Linked DNA regions of Oryctolagus cuniculus. The protein of the gene in region 2 purifies or fractionates together with the protein of the main gene of each other region. This does not show direct contact. Links are inferred from orthologs where the notes say so. Each region holds a gene or a part of one and is shown on either strand. Other genes may lie near its edges.

The links.
Region 1: the proteins of L3MBTL2 (region 2) and MGA purify together in Homo sapiens (affinity purification with mass spectrometry; 3 studies listed by BioGRID and IntAct, counting the BioPlex papers as one, with this or other methods). This does not show direct contact. The link is inferred for Oryctolagus cuniculus from reciprocal best matches to the Homo sapiens genes L3MBTL2 and MGA.
Region 3: the proteins of L3MBTL2 (region 2) and LIN54 purify together in Homo sapiens (affinity purification with mass spectrometry; 3 studies listed by BioGRID and IntAct, counting the BioPlex papers as one, with this or other methods). This does not show direct contact. The link is inferred for Oryctolagus cuniculus from reciprocal best matches to the Homo sapiens genes L3MBTL2 and LIN54.

What each region holds. Positions count from the first base shown.
Region 1 is NC_091443.1:64,844,365-64,846,979, reverse strand, and holds part of MGA (MAX gene-associated protein), read right to left. Parts: coding exon 2,159-2,615; 3' UTR 1-2,158. UniProt on the Homo sapiens protein: Functions as a dual-specificity transcription factor, regulating the expression of both MAX-network and T-box family target genes. Functions as a repressor or an activator.
Region 2 is NC_091442.1:117,288,960-117,292,608, forward strand, and holds part of L3MBTL2 (lethal(3)malignant brain tumor-like protein 2), read left to right. Parts: intron 1-292; coding exon 293-426; intron 427-2,643; coding exon 2,644-2,767; intron 2,768-3,462; coding exon 3,463-3,542; intron 3,543-3,649. UniProt on the Homo sapiens protein: Putative Polycomb group (PcG) protein. PcG proteins maintain the transcriptionally repressive state of genes, probably via a modification of chromatin, rendering it heritably changed in its expressibility.
Region 3 is NC_091439.1:82,838,250-82,841,998, reverse strand, and holds the start of LIN54 (protein lin-54 homolog), read right to left. Parts: upstream 2,477-3,749; 5' UTR 2,366-2,476; coding exon 2,299-2,365; intron 1,153-2,298; exon of another isoform or gene 1,040-1,152; intron 734-1,039; exon of another isoform or gene 600-733; intron 1-599. Other genes in the region: uncharacterized protein, read left to right, coding at 2,477-2,722, 2,843-3,497, 3,600-3,701. UniProt on the Homo sapiens protein: Component of the DREAM complex, a multiprotein complex that can both act as a transcription activator or repressor depending on the context. In G0 phase, the complex binds to more than 800 promoters and is required for repression of E2F target genes.

The DNA.
Region 1 (2,615 bases), on a different chromosome or scaffold from region 2:
CTGAACATCCAGAATCACCCCTCATTTCCACCTTTGTACATCTCTTATAAACAGTAAAATAGCCTCCAATCGATAATTATGACTGGTTTGCTTATTTTCTTCTTCTTATAAAAAGGAAAGCTCAGAAGCTAAAATGTTCAGAAGCTCAGAAGCTAAAATGGTCCTTTTCCTGAGGATTACTCACTTGCCTGCTCTTTGACCTTCAAAAGCCTTAAGAGCCTTGGGAAGTCAGGAGGAAACGGGAAGAGACAAGCAAGGAAACAGTGGGAAACTGCCATTACCTGGGTTAAAGTACTAGCATCTCCAAGGACAATTATTAGCAGGGAAGACAGGTGCTGGATTCCTTGGCTAAGGCATTGAATGAAATCTGCTGGGTAAAGAATGAAAGGGACAATGAGAAGCTGAGGAGCACTCTTTACCTACTTCATGTTTCTATAGCAACCCTCAATGGAGGAAAGGTTACTAAGTATTGATGAGCAAGCCTAGAAAGGTAAGCAGCATAAAACCAACAAAGAATGTGCTCTCACTTCAATTTGCAGAAGTTTCCCCACCCTTTTCAATCTGTTAATTACCAGAGTTAATAGAAAGGGAATCAAATATGGAAGTAACAATTCACTGGCTAGATACACTCCTCAGTTGGTCTCACAACCCAGTTCTGAAGATATGCTGAGTGGGATTTGGGATACAGAGACAAGGGATGTAGAACAAACAGAATCACCTAGGCACAGCCCAGGCACTGGAAGCTCTTGTGTTAGTGTTTTACAACACAAGCAAATCCTGTCAATGAAGACAGAACAGGGGTTACATTCCAAAATATAATTATTTAAGAAAGGCAAAATGCAGCAGCTAATTCCCAGTCTATACATTTTCAGAATAGTGATTCTTGCCCCTAGGAGTTTCCAAGAGACCCCTCAAGTGCACCATGATTATTTACAAACTAGATAGGAAACATTTCTATACTCAATACAAATCTCATCTTCTAGGTTGAAAACTTCAGCCTTTGAGAAATCTATGAAAACTATACAAAAATATAAATATCTTTATCTTTACAGGCTGTCAGTCCTTCATACCTTGACAGCTAATGAGTGAAAAATCTCTACATATCACTGAATCCATGGTTGCAGATAAAAAATATATCTTGTGATTCAAATACTGCCTTATTTCCCTGGTAGAGTGCCTACTGTGACTTTTCTTTACATCCTGTGCAGGTAATAGTGAATGAAACCTTCAAGCACCAGGAGACTGGTTTGACTCAGGAAATATCCAGCCCCACAATTTTTTTTTTTTTTTAATTTGGCCACTGTCTCTGATCTAGGGAGAAAATGCTTTTCATTTTAGCTATCTCGTGAGTGACATGATTTGTGAAAGGCAGAGGGCCCCCTTCTTTGCCTACGTCCAAAACCAATATTCCCCAGTAGAAATGCCTGGCATGGTGAAATGTCCTTTTCCAACATCCACAAAGACAACAGGGAAAACTTTTTTAACACCTCGAAGTAATTACCTTAATAGTAAAAGTTAAAAGTAACCCTACTTTACCAAAAGGCTTGAATTTATAATTCCAATAGAAAAAGTGAGGGAATGGAAGCTACTTGGGAGACCAAAGAGAAAATTTTGCTGAACAATACTAACTCCTTCACTTTGGTATTCCATGATAATCATTCTCTCGCTCTATTCTTGAAACACCTAAAAACTATCTGTTCTGGATCCCTTTTACACAAGTGCATCATATTCCTTAGATTTCAGACTTAACAGGACAGATATCAGCTACAGTTCAGTCCATAAGAGCCCCCAAGTCTCAAGCAGCTTTTTCTCTTGGGGTGGGGTGGGTGCTGGGAGATAACTAGGAATCACTACAGAACTAGTCTTGTTATGAATTCCTTGGGCAAGGGGGCACCTCAAGTTCAGTAAATGGATCATGTCTTCTTAGGATGAGGGGACCCAGCACCACAATTGAGGTAACACATTTAACATGATCAGAATTCCTTAATATTTCTTGTACCAGGGTCGAGCACCCTACCCTCTTTCTCTATCATTATTCGCTGCATCATCTAAGTCAAAGATCACTGTTCTATGACACAAATAAACAGATGCCTGCAGAGAAAGAAGGTGAGATCCAATTTTCCCTCACAATCTGGCTTCTGCCTGAAGACAAATACTTTCATTTCCCTGCAGAACCTGATGAGGCTCCAGAGTTGCCCAATTTAGCCATAACAGGTGCCAACGTAGGCATCACCTTGCTCTCCCGGCCTTCCTGGTCACTCCCTGTTAAGTTCATTTTATTTCCAACTGACCCAACTTTGGCAGCTACAGGTGCCAAGCAAGGCATCACCTTGAGACTCTGACCATCTGTATCATTAGAAGGATTAGCTACTTTTAAACCTAAAGGTGCCAACTTTGGCATAGGCCTCCACAAAGTATCAGTACTGCTGTTGTTCTCCACGCCAGTTTTCATCTGGAGGATGGGGGGCGAGGACATATTTTCAGGCTCTGTAGTGAGGCCAGAAGTACTCTTCTCTCCATCACTAGCTTTCCTATGGGAAAGGAGAGAGTCCTTTATTTCAGAGTCAATAACAATCTTAAGGACATCTGGCTCAGAAGCTGGTTCTGCAAGTTGT
Region 2 (3,649 bases):
CTTCCTCACTGACCTGTTTCCCCAGTTGTCTTTCTGAAGTTCCCTTAGCCCCGCTGTTACACACACAGCCCAGGGAGGCCGGGCAGCCTCGCTTAGGTGAGGTCCGTTCAGATGTGTTCAGTGTGGCCTCCGCCTCCTCCTCCTCCACCACCTCCTCCTCCTCCTCTTGTGTCAGCCTTAGTGAGGGCTGGCACTCACCTGGTTAGTGCAATGTCCCAGGTATTGAAGGCCTCATTGGGTTTGATTTGGGGCGACCGTACCAGGTGAGTCATGTGCTAAGTTCTCTTCCCAGCTGTCTGTGAGATGTGCGGTATCGTGGGCACAAGGGAAGCCTTCTTCTCCAAGACCAAGAGGTTCTGCAGCGTCTCCTGCTCCAGGAGCTATTCCTCCAACTCCAAGAAAGCCAGCATCTTGGCTAGATTACAGGTGAGAGGCAGCCGCTCGGCCCCCAGGGCCCTGGGTGCTAAAAGAGGACCAGCTGACTGGAGGCCCAGAGGACCTGGGAAGCTCCCTGTTTTGGCCGTCTGAGGTTGGACATTTCTTCTGAGAATTTGCTGTGCTCTCAAACCTCAGTAGGCAGAGGAGTCAGTTTATGGAGCTTGTTCATTAAGAGCTTGCTGTTATCCTTCCACCCCCAAGAGTCGCTCATATTCAATAAATTTAAGTGAGAGTCCTGGAGGTTCTGATCAGAGCTGGAAGCCCTGCTCTTCTCTGCACGCTTTTATAAATGCCTTGAAGGGAAGCTGGGATACAGGCGCAAGGTTCAGCAGCCACAGCGGCATCAGGAAGCCGATGCCTTGTCGCTGACTGTGTCTCATGGGTGGCCACCTGGGAAGTCTTGCCAAGCTCTTGACATTTATAGAAGTTTAGGGATGGAAACACTTGTCTTAGGCACCTGTTGTCAGACCCACAAGATGATGCAGTGTGCCGAGTGCAGGGAGGTGGAACGACTGACCCAGGGCAGCTCTGTGGAGGGAGAGCACTGGGATCTGGGCTGCAGCCTACGCTCAGCTGCCGGCCGTGGGTGTTTCCCAACGTGCACACGTGCCTCAAAGGAGACTGTGCATTCGGAACATCCGGAAAGTTTTGGTTTTTTTTTTTTTTTAAAGATTTGTTTATTTGGAAGAGTTACACAGAGAGGTAGAGACAGAGAGAGTCTTCCATTCACTGGTTCACTCTTCAAATGGCCTCAATGGCCAGAGCTGGGCCAATTAGGAGCCAGGAGTTTCTTCCAGGTCTCCCACGTGGGTGCAGGGGCCCACGCACTTGGGCCATCTCTGCTGCTTTCCCAAGGCGCATTAGCAGGGAGCAGCCAGGTCTTGAACTGGCGTCCATATAGGATGCCTGCGCTGCAGGCCGGAGCATTAACCTGCTGCACCATAGTGCCAGCCTCTAGAAAGTTTTAAAAATATGATATTTGGGGCCGGTGCCGCAGCTCACTAGGCTAATCCTCCACCTAGCAGCGCCAGCACACCGGGTTCTAGTCCCGGTCGGGGCGCCGGATTCTGTCCTGGTTGCCCCTCTTCCCGGCCAGCTCTCTGCTGTGGCCAGGGAGTGCAGTGGAGGATGGCCCAAGTGCTTGGGCCCTGCACCCCATGGGAGACCAGGAGAAGTACCTGGCTCCTGCCTTCGGATTAGCGCGGTGCACTGGCCGCAGCGTGCCAGCCGCGGCGGCCATTGGAGGGTGAACCAACAGCAAAAGGAAGACCTTTCTCTCTGTCTCTCTCTCACTGTCCACTCTACTTGTCAAAAAAAAAAAAAAAAAAGAAAAAAAAAAGATATTTGGGTCCTATACCCAAAGACTGGCTTAACAGGGAAGGAGTGTGATCTTGGCTTGGGGATTTAAAGAGCTCGCCGGTGACTCTGCCTGCCACCGTGATGCTGGTGGCAGTGCCCTGAGCTGGCTCCGGCCGGTGCCTCACTCACTGCACTGCCTTTGCTTCCCTCGTTTTGTGGGTTTTATGCAACGCATGAAAGAGAGCTCGTGATGTTACTTGGTAATAGTGACATCGGGGGACACCTGTTGAGGGCTTGGCATTCCCAGTCTAAACAACGATCCTAAAAAATTGACTTTACACAAATTCCTGTTTTAAGAGTTTAAGCATTTGAGTAAAAGATATAGAAAGCTTCAGAACCGGGGTTGGCCCCCAGTCTGTGTGGGATGTCATCCTCCATTTCTGCCTCACTGATCTGTGGTAAATTCCTGGCTTTTCTGATCAGTGCGTAAGTTACAAAGTATGCACCAGGGCCCTGGCCTTTCCCTTTGGGGGTGACCTCCTCTGAGTACCTGAGGACAGCACGGGAGCCTCCGTGGAGCACAATTACCTGTGTACGGAATGCTGCCTCGTGGAGCAGAGACTTCGTGGTGCCACCCTCCCCCACCTCACCCCCGCCCAGCCTATTCTCTGCGTGGCTCAGTAGCAGCACCAGAGTAAGGAGCTGACAGAGCTAAAGCTGTAGGGAGAGGCCCCTGCTCCGCTGACTACCCACCACCACCATCACCCTCTGAGCTAGGCCTTGTCCACGCTGTGTTTTACAAACTCAAGCCAGAAGAGGATAAGTAACTGAACAAGACCAGGCGGATCCTGACAGTGCCGATCCAGATCCTTAGCCGCCACCTCACGGCCTCTCTTTTCCCTCCAGGGGAAACCACCAACCAAGAAAGCCAAAGTGCTGCACAAGGCGGCCTGGTCTGCTAAAATCGGAGCCTTCCTGCACTCCCAGGGCACTGGACAGCTGGCCGATGGGACGCCCACAGGGCAAGACGGTAAGACAGCAGGGACAGGTTCTGAAAGTGGCTGCGGTGGTGGCCGGGACCCGGCTGGCCCTCCCTGGGAGTGGGGGCTGGGAAAGCTGGACCACTGGAAAGCCCCTGGCCCAGGCTCGCTGCCCGTCACCCTTTCCTGTGGGCTGTCCTGGAAGTTACCTCCTAAAAGCTCCTGGCTCACCCCTCAGAAGTCAGGAATTAGCTTCTTTTGTTTCTCTTATCTCTGGGGCAGTGGAGGCCCAAGTCTGGTTTGAAGGGGCGGCAGTCCGGGGTTAGGATAACAAAAGGAACCTTCTCTGTGTGTGTGTGTAGCAAACTAAGTGTAGGCCCTCGCAGCTCTGCCAAGTTGGCCTCCCCGCCAGCAGGTCTGGGCCTCACTCTGTGCTGCTCCACCCTGTTGGGTTGGATGTGGCCAAGGAGAGGCTGAGGGGTGTGAGGAATTTGAACCCAGGGACACTGGCATTTCCCTTTCCTTGGGATAAGAAGGGAGAGATACTCCTTTGTAAGTGCTCCTCTACCGAGGATTGGCGGCGTCTAGATTTGCCTGCACCCCCTGGTGGCCACTGGTGGGACAGGTCTGGGCGCACTGGGACTGCTGCGGAAGAGCGACTGCTGCTGAGCCCGCCGGCCCTCAGTGCAGTGACCACAGCGCTGCCACCGGGCTTCCAGGCGCCAATCTCCTCTCTGCTCCACAGCTCTGGTCCTGGGCTTCGACTGGGGCAAGTTCCTGAAGGATCACAGTTACAAAGCTGCTCCTGTCAGCTGCTTCAAACACGTGAGTGCCCCGGGTTGCAGAGGGAGGGCAGGGCACACAGCGGAGGCGCTGGCCTTGGTGTGCACACCGCTTCCCAAGGACGGTGCCAGGCTGGTGCGGTGCCGCAG
Region 3 (3,749 bases), on a different chromosome or scaffold from region 2:
TGGGGGGGCAGGGGGTGAGGGCAGAGAAGAACTTCTCTGAAAAGCAAAGGTTATAAAATATCACTAACAGTATCTCAATTGTTATCAGCCAAATGGCAGGGGCAAAGGGGTCACTTGATGGATGACAGAGCCATGAAAGAAAAAAAATAACATTGGTAATGGCTTCATAGTGGTGCTTATGATCAAAAACTGTGAGCATCCAACACCCCAACAAGTTATAGGTTGTGATCCAAGACCTTAAATGCAGAATAAAATGCCAATGCTCTGCCTCCCGAAAGAAACATACAACCCCCTAAACTGGTGAACACCACCCAACCAACACCCGGCAGAGTGGATATTTTCAGTATCACATCAGGAAATCATGGTAAGTGCTAGCGGTTCCTCTAGGCCTCAGCAGCGCCTGAGGTGTAAGAGCAAACTCGAGCCCTCTTCACCCTCAAAGAATAATGTTGATGTCATGACGAGGCTACTGCTTCTTTGCACTCCGGGCAAGTCATGCCTCGATCCACAACGCAATTCTTCCCCCACCCGCCGGCACCCCTCGAAACGCAGCGATCTCTACCCAGAGGAGCCCTCGGGGTACCCCCAGCCTCCTCTACCTCCAGCGGCGGCCGCTCTCTCCTCCCTCGGGCTCCGAGGTGGGGGCTCCAGAAGGTCCCGGGCAATCCCGAGCCCGGGCGGTGCTTGTTTGCCTGACACGGTAGCTCCGGCCGGCCGCCTCCTTCCCCAGTTGGCCCAGACTGGAGCGCTGCAGGGTACCCGGGGGCCGGGGAGCGAGCCCGGGCGGCGACGTCGCCGCGGCCGCCGCCTCTGGTATGTCAGGGGCCGGGATTGTATTTCGAAAGATCCGCCATTTTCACCTCGTCATCACCATCACAGCTCAGCAGCTTCCCCGGCAGCCCGAGCCCGGGCCGCCGCCGCCGCCGCCAGCAGCCGGCCCCCCGCCTCCCCGTCCCCGCCCCGGCCCGCCCCTCCCGAGAGGCGCACACCCACATATCCGGGGAAGCCTCCCGCCGGCCCCGCCAACCTTCAAACGCACCCGGAGGAACAAGTGCTCACGGGCCACGCCAACCTTTCACCCCCGAACCACACGCCGAGCCCGGCGGCCCCGCCGCGGCGCCAGAGGAAGTCGCTCTCCCGGCGGGTCCCAAGTCCGGCATAGGCTTGTGTGCAAAGGCAGCCCAGCAGAAGGCGGCACCGGGACAATAAAGAGCCCAAACTCCCTCATTTTCACGAAACCAACTTGAGGGAGGTGGAGGCGTGGGCTTCTTTCGCGGCGTCCATCTCAGACGCTACAAACATTGTCCGCACCGTGAATGTCACTCACCAACTTTGACGTATTACTCTAACCGCAGAACTACTTTGACAGGACGAGCGATTTCCATATGCTAGCCCTGACCTCTCTGACACTTTCCTAAACTACAGGCACCGACCCTCAGCCAGGTAGGCGGTCAAAAACAAGCCACCAGTTAAAACCCAGGATCCGAACTGTTTCCCTCTCCACTCAACTTTAATCTGGTCACTTCTGTCCACGAACACTGTGACGACCGGACTTCAAAGTGCGACTGGATTTGAAATGTACTGATCCAATTGTGGAAACATTCACGATCAATTTCCAAAATACGGAAAATATAGCTCTAAGCTAAAATTTCTTGCCAAATGTTTTTAGGATCTAAGTCATCAAATTGAAAAACCATCTGCCGCTGCTGTTTTGTTCAATACAGTGAAAATAAACAGTTTGCTTTAGAATAAGACCCCAGTTGCCCCATACTCCCACCAGTTCCTGTCATCATTCAGTTTAATAAGCAATTAAAGGAGAACATACATATTTTCTAATCACCTAAGAAGAAAAACATTAGCTGCAAAGCTTCTGATGAAATCAGCATTTGGAAAAAAATCAGTTACCATTGTTAATTTCAGAAAGATCACCCCTTCAAAAGATAAATTCTATACCACTAAACCACGCCATAAGCTCTAAAGGACCTACGTAAAACAAGCAAATTGAACTTCAAGGTTGCGAATACAGCCACTCTCAGTGCCTTTTTTGAAAAGTTAGTCTGAGGAGAGGAAGGTGGAAGTGGAAAAAGCCATTTATTTCCACCTTGTGTGAAAGGCAACTCCATACAAAAGTCGGCGGCTCCAGGCGTAAACAAGTGCTATCCTCCAGCCGCTCCAACCCCCGCTTTCCTGTGCAGCCTGCTCGGCGCTCCGAGTCTAAAGTGTTCCCAATTCCCTCATCCTTAAACTTCACCAACCCACCGACAGCCCGGTCCACCCGCACCCTGCTGGGCTGTTTACCGTTGCGTGGCCAAGCTGAGCCCCAGCCCGCTCCCTTCCCCCGTGCACCGCGGGAACACTGTGACATTTAGCTGGTGGGCTTCGCGAGGAAAACGGACGCACACGAAGAAGAGTCCATACAAAGGGGCGTAGGAAGAAGGCGGCGGCGGGCAGCAGGCAAAGGAGGGGCTGATACCAAATGACACAGCAGCAAAACCGGTTCCCTGACACCGGGGCCCACACGGCCGGCTTCTCGGACCGCGCTGTGCGCCTGTCCACAGCCGTAGGAGTCCTTCCTCCAGTCAGCCGGGCAGGGCGGCCGGCACGGCGTTGGCCCTGCCGAGTGACAGCCGCCCTCCCGGGGGCCGGCGGGAAGGGGCCGTGCCCTGAGGATCGTCCGCCCCCTGCGGCCCGGGGATGGGGCGCGGCGGCCCCCAGGCGGCAGGTGCCCGCTCTCCGCCACTGCCCCGCCGCCCAGGCTCCCGGGGGGGAGCGGTTCGGCGCCCTCCGCCCGCGCTGCCATTCGCAGCGGAGACTGGCTCCCCCTTTCCCGCCCGCCCGGTAGCCCCCATCTCAGGGGCTGACACTCACCAAAGCCGGCGGCGCCGCCGCCTCCTCCTTGCGCCGCGCTCCCTGGGCTCCCAGCAGCCGCGGCGGCGGCGGCGCCTCCGAGGCACAGACCCGGGTTTGTTCAAAATCACGCGCCCAGCGCCATTCCACCGCCGCATCCCATAATACGCCGGGCCCTCCCCGCCCGCGCGCCCCTCTCTGCCCGCCCCTCCACTCCGCCCGCCCTGCCCCGCCTCGCTTAGCTCCCCGGGCCGGCTTCCTTCGCCCCGCCCCTTCCGCGGCGCCTGGCCCCGCCCCTTGGCAACCCGAGCCGCGTCATTCCGCAAGGCTCCGTGAGTACGCTCCGGCTCCACGTGACTCCGACTGGGCGCCTTGTCAAAGCTTTCGCACGGAATGTTCCATCTCGCCGAGCCGGGGGTGGGGGACGGTGATCCCGGATCGCGCCAGCAGTTGGCAGAGGCCGCCTTCTCGCCTCGCTTCCCTTGTTAGGAAGTCCATGCTGGAGGTGCGTCCTCCAGCATCCTCCCTGTTTGATGTGCTCCTAAGGCGGCGATTCGGCACAAAAGCCGAATCTCTTGGTTTTATAGGTACTGCTTTTGCAGGAGTCGCTAAAAAGCCCCTGGGAAACCACGCAGAATTAAACTTATTTTGTAAGGGACTTCTTGCCTTTTTTGCAATACTGTATACAGCTAAGACTAACGGAGTCAAATTTCTTTGTATTTAGTCATCTTTTCTATTATTATCCCCACTAGTTACAAGACATCCGAATGTGAAGTCGGAAAAACAGGCTGTGAAAGACCACTCAGTTAATAAATGCTCGGTGTTTGAGACGAGACTACACAGCAATAGAAAAGGTAAAAGAATGTAAATGTAACATGGTGTGCAACAGTATGTAATTGCCA